Linked DNA regions of Lonchura striata. The protein of the gene in region 2 interacts with the protein of the main gene of each other region in a pairwise test. Links are inferred from orthologs where the notes say so. Each region holds a gene or a part of one and is shown on either strand. Other genes may lie near its edges.

Region 1 (6,948 bases), on a different chromosome or scaffold from region 2:
GGGATGGGGCTGCTGGCCAGGATCAGTCGGCGCTGCCCCAGCCCAGCTCTTCCCGGCAGTCCCCGGCTCCGTGAGGAGGCAGGAGAGGAGCAGCTTCCCACGGCCGCTCTCCTGGCTCCGTGCTGGCCGTGGCTCTGGGGTCTGGCTGAACTGCAGCTCCCAGTGGCCAGCAGCCTCCAGCCACGGCCTCGGGGACAGCCTGTTCCACGGCGTGGCTCCGGGGCTTTCTCCCTTTCCCACGGCAAGGCACACGGGACACGGCGTCCCGGGGAACTCGGTGCAGTTTCCTTCCTTGCAGGGTCTGTAGGGAAAAGCGGCGAGAGCGGAGGCTGCGCTCCACGGCCGCGCTCCCGAGCATCCCATCCCAGGGTGGGCAGGTCTCCGGAGCCTCCAGAGGGGAATGTGTAGAGCTCAGAACCAGGCAGGAGGCAGCTGCCTGCCCGCAGCCAGCACCTTTGCAGGCACAAGGGACTGAGGGATGTCCCCCTGCCAGCCGGGCCAGCCCGGCACTACACGTATTGCTTTTTGGAGGCTGAGCTCCCGGGCCGGCTGCCCGGCTTCTCCTCCGGGGCGGAGGCTTCAGCAGGCCCGGGGGCGTAGGGGTCCGACAGGGGCCTGCTGCCGCTGCCCAGTGCCAGGTTCTCCTCGTTGCGGTAGTTGGCCCAGTTCTGCTCACTGGAGAGCTTGTTGTAGGTCTGGTAGGAGGGCGCGTGGCTCTCGGCCATGGGCAGGAAGGGATAGTGCTTGGGTGAGTAGGGACTCGAGACCATGGCATCCACAAAGGTGTCCTGGCTCGGTCCAGCTGGCCCCGACACCTTCTTGATGTTGCTGAGCAGGTTCTTGCAGCAGAGGTGGAAGAGCTCCAGGAGGTTCAGGATTAAGGAGATCAGGCCCATCACCAGCATGAAGATGATGAAGATGCTCTTTTCGGTGGGGCGGGAAATGAAGCAATCCACCTGATGGGGGCACGGGTCCCTCTTGCACACGTAGCGGGGCACCATGGAGAAGCCATACAGGTACCACTGGCCCACGAGGAAACCGGCCTCAAAGATGCTCTTGCAGATGACACTGGTGATGTACGTCCACATCAGCGCCCCCCGGATCTTCAGCCGCCCACTCTCTGTCATGTAGATCTTGGACATCTTCTTCTCCAGGTCTGCCAGGGCCTCCTCAATCTTCGGGTCCTTGCTGTGGACAGCCCGAAGCTTGCTCTCCTTCTCCTTCAGCTTCTCCTCCTTGCGGGAGAGATAGACAACGTGGCCCAGGTAAATCAGGGTCGGGGTGCTGACAAAGAGGAACTGGAGCACCCAGTAGCGGATGTGGGAAATGGGGAAGGCTTTGTCATAGCAGACGTTGGTGCAGCCTGGCTGCTTGGTGTTACACACGAAATCCGACTGCTCGTCCCCCCACACAGACTCGCCGGCCAGGCCCAGGATGAGGATGCGGAAGATGAAGAGCACGGTGAGCCAGATCTTCCCGATCACCGTCGAATGCTCCTGGACTTGGTCCAGCAGTTTCTGCAGGAATTCCCAGTCACCCATCTTCTAGGAAGCCTTTGCCTCTGCCAGCAGAGAGAAGACACGTCAGTTCCCTGTTTCCATGCTGGGGAGCACAGGGCAGATGTGACCACTTAAACTCCGTGCTTTTTCAGGATATAGCTGCTCTGCAGACTGGCCCAGCAAACCCTCTGAGGAACATCCCACTTCTGAGGGAGGGAGGGTTCCAGGCAGCGTTTAGGAGCCCCAGAGGGCTCCTCCTACACAGTGCAGGAACCGAGGGCTGGGAGAGACAGGGATTCTCCCCTCCCAGCAGCACCCACAGCTCGTGGCTCTCCTGGCCACTCCAAGGACAGCCTGAAGCCAGTGGGGTTTTGGGAGCTCAGGGCGAGGAGGCACTATGGGAGCTCACAAATTTGCTGCTGCCCTGGCTTTCCCAAAAAGCAGAGAGCAGGATGGTCTAGAGGGAAAGCACAACCCCTTGGGGTACATCTGCCGCCCCAAAGCCGATTCAGGGCTCACCCCAAACTGAACGGACAACACCTCACCGGCTCCCTTGCTGCGGGGCGATGGACACCCAGCCCCAGTCCCTCCCATCGCCAGGAGATCCCGAGCACCGCTCACCACCCTGCTGCCTCTCCCGGGATCCTGGGGAGCCGAGCCCGCACCCCGCGGGCGCTCAGCCCGGCTGCGAGGAGGGACGGGGCGGCCACAGCCCCGGCTCCTCATTAACCGCTGCTAATTAAGCAGAGAAGTGCCGGCTGTGCGGTTAAAGGAACCCCCGGCAGCGGGGTGCCCCGTCCCCAGCCCGGTGCCCGCTCTCACCTCCGCCGCGCCGGGCACGTCCCGCCGGGCTCGGGCCGCGCTGAGTGCGAGGGGTCGGACCGGGTGGCTCCGGTTATTGGGGGCCCGGGGAAGCCGGAGGAGGAGCGTGGGCAGGAAACTGGGGGCTGGGGCTTAGTACCGGCCGGGCCGAGCCGCAGGTGTGCGGGGCCGCCCCCTCCCGTGGCCCCCGGACGAGGGGGCGGCCCCGGCGGGCGGAGCGGGGGCGGCCAGACCCGTCGGGGCCGAAGCTGGGGGGCAACGGTGTGGAGCCCGGCTGCCTCCCGCACTTTCATCTGCGGGTCCGCCACTGGGCAAACCCGCTGAGCCAGAGACCCCGGGATGCTCCGTCCCCTGACCCGTGTCCGGGAGATGTTTAATTCCCTGCCCGGCGGGGCGTTTCGGGGACGCTCTGTTCCCCGCCCGGTGTCCCGGGGATGTTCCGTCCTTTTCCGCCCCGGCCGGACCGCGGCTGCGGCGCTCGTGGTTTGCCCCCGAGGGTCCGTGCGGCGCGGCGGGCGCTGGGTGGTGCTGGAGCCCCACCGGAGCCGGCTGCGGTCCCGCATCCCTCCGGTTCTGGATGAGCCCCACCGTGCCTGGCCCCCATCCCGCGTCCCGCCGGTTCCCGGGACGGGCCCTGCCGGTTCCTGGGATGAGCCCCACCGTGCCTGGCCCCCATCCCGCGTCCCGCAGGCTCCCGGGCTGAGCCCCACCGGAGCCCAGTTGCGATCCCGCGTCCCGTCGGTTCTCGGGATGAGCCCCACCGGAGCCCGGCCGGGAACTCCCACGCAGGTTCCAGGCAGAGCTTTGCTGTCGGGGGTCTCAGCACGCCCCAACACGCTCGTGGGGCTCGGAAACACGGGCGGGCTGAGCAGAGCTGGGAACAGCGGACCCTCCGCTAGTGCTGCTTAAGGAGAGATTAAATGGAAATCATTTCTATTTATTGTAATATTTATCAAGGTTTAGTAAATAATTGATGCTCATCCCTCCTTGATTTCCTTGGGGGCCAGCGTGAGGTTCTGCTGAATTAAAGTTTAACGACGCGTGACAGGCTGGGAGAGGCGGAACGGGCGGACGTGAGCTCGGCTGTGGGCTCAAGCAATGCCCAGCTCAGGCGGATGAGAAGGGCCTGGCTGTGGGCTCCTGAGGAACCTCTGCAAATCCACGTCTTCTGCCCTCACCAGGCCCCCAGTTTCCAGCGTGCAGAGCAGATCTTGGTGTCTCCAAACACGACATTTATTGGCCCTTTGGATCCGTGTGTGATGTGCATCTGAGGTGAGGGGGGACACAGAGGCACCAAGGGAAGCAGCAGAGCCAGCAAGGGCTTTTGGGCAGAACATGGCTTGGTGCTTGTGTGAGCCAAGGGGGAGAAATGGCAAACCGGGCAAACTGGGCCAGCAGAACAATTGCTAACAGACTGGAGCCCTGGTCCTTTGTCATTACTTTGGGTGCATGAAGAGAGCCCTGGCCACGGAGCCCAGAATTCCTTTGGTTTCTTGGCACGTAAGAAAGCAGCGCATGTGTGAGGAGCAGTGAGCTGGGAGGACTGGCATGACACCAGCCCTTGGCTGGGCACCAGCTGGGTGCACTCACACCCAGCATGGGAGCAGAGGAGCTGCAGGACCCAAGAGAAGCTGCGGGACACTGAGGGTCTGTGTGCTGCTGTGATGTCCATGTTTGTGGCACTGCCACCTGCAGAGCTCCAGAGCTGTCCTTGCCTTACCTGTGTCTGCTCAGGCACCCATGGGTCTCTCTCCGGGGACATTACTTCACTGGGTTTAGTCATTTTTCACATGGGTTGACTCTTGAGGGTTTGAGGATTTGGCAGGCTGGAAAAGCCAAGTTGAGGGGAATGTGAACCGGCTGGGACGGGTGTGCTCACAGCTCTTCTCCTCTGTGGGAAGAACGGACACACTCAGGCATGGCCATGGACAGCCAGCACCCACCTGCCACCGAGCGTGTCCACACCCCTGGGACAGCCAGGGATGTGCCCGTGATCCCAAGCAGGAGAGTTCCCAGGGATGTGTCCCCCTCCCCTTACAGCCACTGAGGTCCTGGCTGAAGAGTCTGGTGGTCACCCGTGGTTCCAACCATCCCTGGCACATACCAGGACACTTTCCCCCACCACTCTTCCCAGCACCCTTCAGACAGCAGTTAGGGCTGCCACACACCTGGGCTGGGACTTGTTGTCCTTCTCCTCTGACTTCATGTGACAGTGGCAGGTGGAGGCCTTGCTGTAGCTGACGGAGCGCTTGGTGGATTTCCTCCATTTCCTTGCCCTCTGGACAGCTCGCTTGAAGATGAGGTAGAAGATCTCACAGACGGTGAGGACAATGCAGATGGAGGAGGCTCCAACCATGAAATAGGTGAAGACCCTTTTCTCGGTTGGCCGGGCGATGTAGCAGTCCACGGTGTTGGGACAGGGATCCACGTTGGCGCACTTGACCAGCCGTGGCAAATCGAAGCTGTCCCACATCTTGTGGAGGAGGTAGAGGAACAGGATCTCTATGATAAGCTTGAAGATGAGGCTGAACAGGTAGGTCCACCACAGCCCGCCGTGCTTCTTGCCCGTGTTGCTGTAGAGCTTGGGGCAATTCTCTCCATTCTTCTCCCGGTTCTTCCTCTCGCGGTCCTCCCTGTAGGCCACGTGCATGATGACCAGGAGGGAAGGACAAGTGACAAAGATGAGCTGCAGGGCCCAGAGGCGGATGTGGGAGATGGGGAAGAAGTGGTCATAACACACGTTGGTGCAGCCCGGCTGCCGCGTGTTGCAATCGAAATCCTTCTGCTCGTCGCCCCAGACCTTCTCGGCTGCCACCACATAAACCAGCACACGGAAGACAAAGACCATGGAGAGCCAGATGCGGCTGAAGGCTGTGGAGTACTTGTTGACCCCGCTGAGCAGCGCCTGCAGCGTTTTCCAATCCATGGCAGCTGAGGGAGACCAGAGTCACCCAACCTGGAGAGGCAGAAGGAGCAGTGGGAGACACCACTGGGCTGCACATCTCTCGCTGACACTCAACCCTCTCCCCCACCACATTACACTCATGTAGGACGGGGGCTCTTCACCCTTGCAGACAGTAAAGCCCATCCTCCCACACTCCTGGTGGCAGAGGTGACTCAGTCTATCTGCACTTCCTTCTGACGGAGCCTTTGCTGTCAGGGATGAGCCACCTGGCCAAGTCCCTGCCACCAGCTCTGTGCCTGATTCTTTTTTTTGTGTGTGCTGGTGCAAACTGGCAGCACTTTCTGCAGGAGCAGGCCAGGATCATCAGCCAAAGGGGAAATGGCTGCTCCTCTCCCAGCTGGGGTGCCAGGGACCTGTTTTGTGTCTCCCAGGTGATACCTGAGGCAGCCCAAACACAGGTGACAGCGGGGCTACAGAAAGTGAGAGTCTGTGTGTGTCACAGTGTGCGTGTGTCACAGTCTGCGTGTGTCACCAGCATGTCACCCTGGCCAGCGCTCTGCTCCTGCTCCGGCAGCAACGCCGGAGGACCCGACGGCCAAACCGGCTCTGCAGCTCAGCCTGGGGCTGCCCTGTGTGAGGAGACACGCCAAGCCTGACCGGGAGCTTTACTACACCTGGATTTACAAACCCAGGTGGTTTTTACAACCCTCTGGGCTGTGAAGGTGCCTGCCCTGCAAAGGGATTCCCAGAACACTGGGTTGCTCTCACTTTTAAGGAATTTGCGCTGCCTGTTGCCCACCCGGTGCCTTCTGAGACGTACCTGGAGGAGGCTCAGGCTCCTTCCCCGCTCACCGGGGGCTGTGGGGTGGGAAGTGTCCAGCACGGGGCATAGCCAGGGTGCGATGGCGGGCTGGTGATCAGAGTCCTCTCATCCGGTGCACTGTGGTGTCCCAGGGCTGTGGGGACGGAACAGAACCTGGAGCACTGCCCAGAGCCCATGGAGCACTCTGGGAGCCTGTCCTTGCCCACGGCCACCCGCAGCAAGCCACGAACCTGTGGCTGTGCTCCCACACTTCTGTCCCAGGGACACACTGGGAAGGGTGGCTGGGCTGAGTGGCTCCAGGCTGGGGTCCCTGGCAGCGTGTGCCAAGTGCCAGGGCTGTGCCTCTGCCCATGGCCACACACCTTCTCTCACTGCCCCGTCTAAAAGCAGATCTTCCTCCCTGGCAAATCCTTGGCGGGGGTCAGGGTGGGGAGCAATCACTGTGTTCCCACCCAACCCTTGGATTTAAAACTGGGAGAGGGGAACTACTGGTTTGCCCATAAAAGCTGGCGTGGATGGAACCTCCATGCCCCCAGAGCCTGTGCCCCCTCACCAGCCTGCCAATTCACCCATGACCCCATCCCTGCTGCCAGTGAGACCAACCCAGCACCCAGCTGCCCAAAACCCACCTGCCCAGCACCCGTGTGCCCGGTTCAGCCCAGCGCCGGCTCCGGTCATGGACCCGCAGCGGAGCAGGAAGGAGCTGTGCTCTCCGTGCCAAGCTCCGTGCCAGTCCCCGTGGCACACAGCGTGAGCCCCCGGGGCTCCCCAGTGCCGGGTGGCAGCCGGGCAGAGCAGGAGCAGTGCTCAGGTGTGCTCAGCTGTGTCGGCAGTGCTGGTTTGCCTCCCACAGAGCCCGGCACCCTTGCCAGCCCCCGGGATGCCAACCCACTGCGTCA
Region 2 (7,191 bases):
AGGCCCATAACAAATATTTTATTAGTGCATTCTGAGGATTTCCTAGAAGTATATAACTGTATTTAAATTATCTATTTGAATCTCCTTCCATCAGCAAAAGCTGTTTTATGGCCACATAAATATTTTTCCCTACATTACCATCTGTGATTGGGCAGAGTAGTCAGTCTCTGTGGACAGTATTTCTCCAACAGGAGCATCCTTTGTGTATGCCTAACGCTGCCTTTCTGGCATATTAGAGAAATCAGTATTTAGAGTGAGATTGACAGAGATTACTCTTAAATTATGTGATCTGTATCTGCACACGTGCAGGGAGAGACAGAGACAGCACTAGGTGGGGGAACCTAAATAATTCTCTGCCATGGCTACTCCAGAAGCCACCAGAGGAACCACCATCCCAAAAAAAGACCCATCTCCTCACACAGGAAGGAGCCCCAGGACACAAGGGCGGGTAGGAGAACACCAATAATGTCATCAGAGAAATGAGATCTCTCCCTAGACTGTCCCCAGGCTGTCACAGGGGAGCTTCAGCCCCATGGGCCAAGCACTATAACCAACACCACAGGGGAGTAGTTTCCTGGAGCACTTCCCAGACTGTGGGGTGTCACTGCTAGGGATATGGGACACAATATGGGATTCAGGAGAAGAGTATCTTCGGATTGCACAAAAACGTGTCACAAGATGCTTAAGGGAGGAAGAGATACAGGCAGGAAAAGGGAGGGATACAGGCCAGCCACTGGGTACACTAAGGCTGCAGCCTCAGGGCCCCTGTGTCCATGTGCAAACAGCTGGGATGCAGGGAGCAGCTACTGGGCAAACTGTCTGATCCAGATCCTCACTGGGAGAGCCTTATGGTGTACATGTACACACATATATTCCCACTAGGAGATTTTCACCCTGAACAGCCGGAGAGGGAGCAGGGTGAAGCTGTTGGTGCAATTTGTGTTTCTCTTAGTGCTATTTGTGTCTGTGCTGGTCTGTGGGGCCAGATGTGTGTATATGTTTATGTGTGGGTTCTATAGACCTGACTATTGGGAATACAAACCCAGTCTAGCTATTAGCTGGACCTAAGGGCACAGAGCTGCAGCAATCTCTCCTCTGTTGACCTACTGGATTTGGAAAGCCTAACCAATGACCAGGAATTGAACTTGCCAAATACCTAAGAGCTAGAAAATTGTAAGATTGTATGAACTGAACTGTTCCACTTACTATTGTATTAAATTACATCACACATTAACTTCCTCTAAACCCTTATGTCATTAACTACAGTGGTCATTTTTTGGAACATCTTACACTCTTCTCATTCAATATGTAGCTCCAACTCAGCAAAAGTAAAATTATTAGTTTGTCAAGGATAGTTAAGAATATAGCTAACTATCAAGGACAGCTAATAACTACAGTCCTTAACAAAATGTCATGAATCTGCTTTGTAGCCTTGCCAGATAAGGAAATTGAAGACTATCGTCCAGGTTGGAAGAGACCTTAAAGATCATCTAGTCCAACCATCAATGTGGTCCAACTGACACCCTTCAGACTTGTTATGCAAACACAAAAACTATCACTTATAGCTACATTTATTAAATTTAGAAGTGACATTTTATTTTCTACAATGGCAGAAGAACTCAGAGATTATGAAATTTAAAGTACTTATTTTCAACTAATGGATATAGTATTTGCCACTCTGCAGATTGCCCTTATCTGCAGAGTCACTGTCACAATCTAGAAAGGCAACACGGGTGATCTGTGAATAAAGAAATAATGCAAATGACTAAGACTGCTTCATTTCTATGAAGAAGGAAAAAGCTGAACTACTACCAACAAGAAGTAATTACTGGTCTTCAATTTCACAAACACCCTTTCACCAGAATCTTGGCTACACAGTACTATACTATCTGAAATTATTTGAAGAAAGGGTCTCGCACATTATTACAGCCAAAATGACCTTTACCATCTGAAAGCATTATTCTAAGCACTTATTTCACATTGCCTATGTCCTTTGAAATAAGACTTGTAATAACTTTCCAAAGAGGTGCATTCAACTATCACTCCCCTACCTTGAAAGTTTGTTTAATGAGGCCTGTCATAAACAGGCTCAACTCCCAGGGCTTTTTGCCAGCCCTCTCCTCATCCTAAGTTTTCATCTGCACCTGCCAAAAGTTTGATTTATTTAAGCATAATACTTTTTTTTGTGCAATCACTTTTCTGTGAGCAGTCATAAAGATGTGTATTATAGCTCAATTTACCTCAGCATCTGTTTTTAAGGGTTTTTTAAATGACATTTTAATGTAATTTTTAAGTCATTTTTAATGCACAAAAGGGCCTTCTGATAGTGAGGATGATACAAACCTGGCTATGACACAAGATACAGAATGGATCTCCTGGCAGCCTTGATTTTTGCTCCCCAACTTCCCCATCCCTTCCACAGCCAGACACAGTTGTATTCAAAGGGCTAAATACTAATTGTGTACTTGTGGCTTACCTTAAACTCTTCTGATGGCTTTGGTGCAACAAAGGGCAAGCACAGAGAGAGGCTCCCACACTCTGTGCACATACCCAGAGATTAAAGTCTCTGAGAAAAGCCCAGTTTTAAAGCCTTGTTCCTCCTGCTCTGTGTATGACTATACATGCAGGGGATAAAGAAGCAGTGTCTTTGACCACGTAAAATCTCTGAGTTCTTGCTTTCATTTGTCCATAGCTATTTCCAGAGACAAAAATATCTCCTATTCTAAAGCTCCTCCTAAATGCAATGCTAAATGGGCTCTCTCCTACTCAATGAACGATGATGAAAATACTCTCTCTGGCCATGAAGCAATACATGCTATCTACTGAAAGTGCCCATTAATAGCTTACTTGTCCTTCTCCTTCCATTTTCACTTTAGAATGAAAAAAGGAATACAAATTCTCCAGATCTATATCCCTCTCGAAGTCCAGTGATGCCCCTTTCCCATTCCCTCTTCTTCCTCCCCACAAATTATCAGATAGACATCGAAAGAGTGTGTGGTCAATTCCGCTACTGTTACCTGCCCTGAGCAGCACTGGTTCCCCCTGCTTGTGGCACAAGCACATACTTATACTAAAATGTCCAGGATCTTTCTCTTAGGCTGCAACTTGTTTCTTCTCTACTTTTGTCATTATCACTCTTGAAATAGCGGGAGGTGCTCCGCGCAGGGTGAGCAGAATAAGTGCGCATCCACAATGAGGCAGTGGGAGCAATCACTGCTACTCTGTCACCTTCCTGTTCACCAGGAGATATTTTTTCTGCCTTGCCAGGGAGCTCTTCTGATTTCATTAGTGAGACAGTAAATGAGCTAAGTCCTAATAATCAGCCATCAGGCAGTCCCGCGCCTCTGCACGCATTTGAAACAACTGAACACGAAAAGGTACCGGTGAAAACAAGCGGTGTGCGAACTAAGCACCCAGTAACATTGAGTGCACAGCTTAAGAACGGTTTTGATGTCGTTCTTATTTGTGATATCACATCCGATAACAATCACACCAACCAGGGGAGAACATCCTTGGAGCTCTGAACAGAAGGTCCTCTGAAAATCCTGAGGATCCATGAGATCCGAGTCATTTCTAAAGGACAATTCTGTTCACAACCACCCCTCCGAAAGTGTTGCCCTAAAGTTCGTCACATTTTATTACAAGGTTCTGTTATCTCTATAATCACTGAGGACATCGTTTTGCCAAGATCCCTGTCTTACTACGATAATCTCTCGCGCATCGATCTCCTCTCTGCACCGGCCTTTATCTCGCCAAGTCAGTCTCCGCCGGTTTTGTCTTTCCGGCGCTTGCCACCGATGCCCGCGGCTCTGGGGAACGAACATGTTAAGCGCCTTGCCTTCAAGTGCCACCTGCAGGGGAGGCGCACACCGCCGGCGCTGCCCCCCGCAGGTGCGCCCCGCTCGCCGCTGGGGGCGGCCGCCACCGCGTCCCGCCGGCCTGGGAGGAGCGGCGGCGGGCAGCGGGCGCGGAGGCGGCTCCCGCCGCTCCTGCGGACACGGCCCCTCCTCCCGGCCCGCCCCGCCCGCCTCACACATGTGCCCGCACCCAGCGGCGGGGCGCACCGTCGGGGCGGGCGGGTGCTGTCGCCTCGCCGACACCGCGGCAGCAGCGCGGCGCGCCGGGCGTCCCTCGGGCGTGGGGAGCGGGCGGCCGCGCTGACAGCGCTGCGCCATGGCTGTCGCCTACCTGCTGGGCAACGGGTCCGCGCCGCTCCTGGCCGGCGCCCTGGAGGTCCCGTTCGCCGCCAACGCCTCCGCCTGCCGCCCGCCCGGGCCGCCCTGCCCGGCCTGGGGCAACGCCTCGGCGGCGCTGGGCTGGAACCGCTCCGAGCCCTGCGGCGGCGGCAATGGCAGCGCCGGCGGCGGCGGGCCCTGCGCGCCCACGGGCGGCGGCCCCTCCGTGGTTACCGCCATCGCCATCATGGCCCTCTACTCCGTGGTCTGCGTCGTGGGGCTCTTCGGCAACTTCTTGGTCATGTATGTCATCGTCAGGTGAGTGCCTGCCTGCCCCGCCCCGCTGCCCACGGCCGCTGCCGTCGGGGCGGAACCCCGCCGCCCGGAGCCGGGATGCGGGACGGTGTCCCGGCGGGGATGCTGCGGTCCCCCTCCGCCGGGCAGCGCGCTGAGGGGTGCGGACGGGCGCCGGTCCCCGCGGGAAGGGGAAGGAGGCTTTTGATAAAGAGCCGGAGCGGGTGACGAGGGAAGAGAAACTTGAGGTGGAGCAGTGAGGGCCGGCCGGTCCGTCAGAAGCCGCTGCGCGTCCGAGAATGTTCTAAAGACCCTCCGACCCCAGCTGCCCACCTCTGCGAGTGGCTCTGGCCAACGGGGCCTAAATCCCGTACCTGTGCCCTAAGGAGCGAGGATTTAAAGAGACTGTGGCCACTGCCTGTGAGCGTGTACGGGTACGGGGTGGTACACGGATAGCCGGCACGCATCCACCTGTCTTTCCACCCACCTCTCCCAAATGCACGAACAAAATGTAAATGGCACTGTGGTTAAACGCTTCCTGTGGCCGTGTTTGGAGATCCTCTGCCTCATATCTAGATCTATATGTGTATATTGAAATACATTTATATATGTGTATAGACATACATGCGTATACACGTGTATAAATACGCATGCAGTGATGCGACCGCTTTCTGTAATCCCGGCGTTCCGGCTGTGCTGCGGCACTTCGCAACTTTCTCGCCCGCAAGAGAAAAAGCCCCAGTGGGGCTCTTACAAATCAGATCACGCGCGATAAATCCATTGCCCGTAAATGAGCGGAAAACGAGTGAGAGAGATGAACAGAGGCTCCCTTGCCGGCCTGGCCGCGGAGCCGGCAGGTGGCATCCGTGGGGGAACACTGCCACCTCCCGGGAGCGACGGGCCGGGGGCGCGACAGGACGGGCCCGACTGAGCTCCTCTCCCTTCGCGGCTGCTCGTCGTTTCCAAACCAAGCATCCCTTGAGCCCTGGAGAGCTCAGCGGGCGCTTTTAAGGGAGGAGATAGGGGTAGCCCAGGGGCGCTCTCCGTTCCTATGGAGGCAGCCCCAGCACTTCCATTTCTCCTCCTCGTCCGGAGCGTCCGTTCTGCCTTTAAGCTCTGCGTTCCCCGAGAAGTCGGGCCCGCAGGAACCGGGGCTGTCTCTTGGCATCCCTGGTGCACCAGCGGCAGCGGGCGGCTTTGTGGCGTGTGTGTGCAGCGCAAGCTGTGCCAGCTGTAGAAAGCTGGGGCTGAGGGTCGCGGTCACGGTGGGGTATTGCAGCAGCATGGAGGATGCGGCACGTGTTAGGGATGTCACTGCACAGCCTGTGCATCTGGTAGACCCAGTGGGAACACAAGTGATATCCATCAGTGGTTCAGTCTAGAGCAGTTCAGAAGCCTTGTAGGTTTAACTATGCTTTAAAGGCTACATACACAGAGCTGGGGAGATTCTCTTCTGTCTTGTGGTTTTGGTCAGTCTGAAACTCAAGCTGTCTGTGTGAGGATACATCTGCAGAAAGGCTTCTGAGTGGGGGCATGACTGCAATCACTGTAGCAGTGTTGAATGCATTCCTCTGGGAGGAAAAGCAGATGCACAGTGTAACAGAGACAGGATAGCTGTCAGCAGAGAAATATGCTCCACCTTGCCCCTGGAATTATGTATTTATTATCCTGGGCATAACCCTTACTAGGTTCATATTTCTTACAGTAATTAATTGAATTACACTTGCACCACAAAGCCAAATCTAATGAGGTACTTGTATTTAGATTCCTATCTAAAGAAAGCCTTTTTCTCTGAGATGACAGCTTACAAACAAAAGCCAGAAGCAATAGCAGAAAGCAAAAATATATTTTCATTTTACAGAGGAAAACAAAAATTAAGTGGCTTGTCCAAACCATCAGGATTGTTATGGCAAACCCCACATCTCCTTTGCAAGAACAGCTTTTGGTGTGACAGAATTTGTTCCCAATTAACACCACACAGCTGTTTAGCAGTTAGGATGACAAGGAATTTACATGCTAATGGCTGAATAGGATCTGTGGCTCAAGCAACATAAAAATACATTCTCTTTCTGTGTTTCTCTGCACCTGTCGTGTATCTGGTCAGCAATACAGGACTTAGTGATTGCATTTCCTGCTGCAAGCTATACTAGCTTGAAAGTGTTTCAAATTAGAATATGAGCCTATGAAATGGTGACCCTATATGTCCACATTCGTGCCTCCTTTCATCCAACTACATGTAAGAGGCCAAAGTTTCACTGGATTGAATTTGTCACCATATAGAACTCCCCTTCATTTGCCTTTCCCATGCCTGCTCAGGAAGGACAAAACATTGATCTTCAAATTAATTGCGAGGGAAATTGAGGCTACTAAAAATTAACATTTTTGAATAATATTGGTATCTAGTTTGTCTTGAAAATACTAGGAGTTGGGAGGTAGGTGCTTAGATGTTTGAAACTGTCCTACTCACCTTTCACCCCAGTGAAAGCAACAGTGACTTCAGATCAAGTGTGCTGCATGCTAACATCTCATGCTTGGTTTCTTTGGAAATAGTTTTAAAATAATTATATCATTCTTATAAATATTATTACTCTTAAAAATTTTCCACATGAGGCAAATCCAGGGGTTTGGAGCCAGAGCTGTGCAAGTGCTGGCCTGAAATGGAACTATCATTATCACTCGACAATGTCACCCTGCTATCTCTGCTGGGGCAAACAGAGGTCAG

The links.
Region 1: the proteins of OPRM1 (region 2) and GJA4 interact in binary tests that used the Homo sapiens proteins (3 or more experiments, as listed by UniProt). The link is inferred for Lonchura striata from reciprocal best matches to the Homo sapiens genes OPRM1 and GJA4.

What each region holds. Positions count from the first base shown.
Region 1 is NC_134628.1:3,686,607-3,693,554, reverse strand, and holds GJA4 (gap junction alpha-4 protein), read right to left. Parts: upstream 2,349-6,948; 5' UTR 2,322-2,348; intron 1,562-2,321; 5' UTR 1,542-1,561; coding exon 510-1,541; downstream 1-509. Other genes in the region: GJB3 (gap junction beta-3 protein), read right to left, coding at 4,462-5,247. UniProt on the Homo sapiens protein: One gap junction consists of a cluster of closely packed pairs of transmembrane channels, the connexons, through which materials of low MW diffuse from one cell to a neighboring cell.
Region 2 is NC_134605.1:55,700,986-55,708,176, reverse strand, and holds the start of OPRM1 (mu-type opioid receptor), read left to right. Parts: upstream 1-4,173; coding exon 4,174-4,493; intron 4,494-4,843; exon of another isoform or gene 4,844-4,879; intron 4,880-7,191. UniProt on the Homo sapiens protein: Receptor for endogenous opioids such as beta-endorphin and endomorphin. Receptor for natural and synthetic opioids including morphine, heroin, DAMGO, fentanyl, etorphine, buprenorphin and methadone.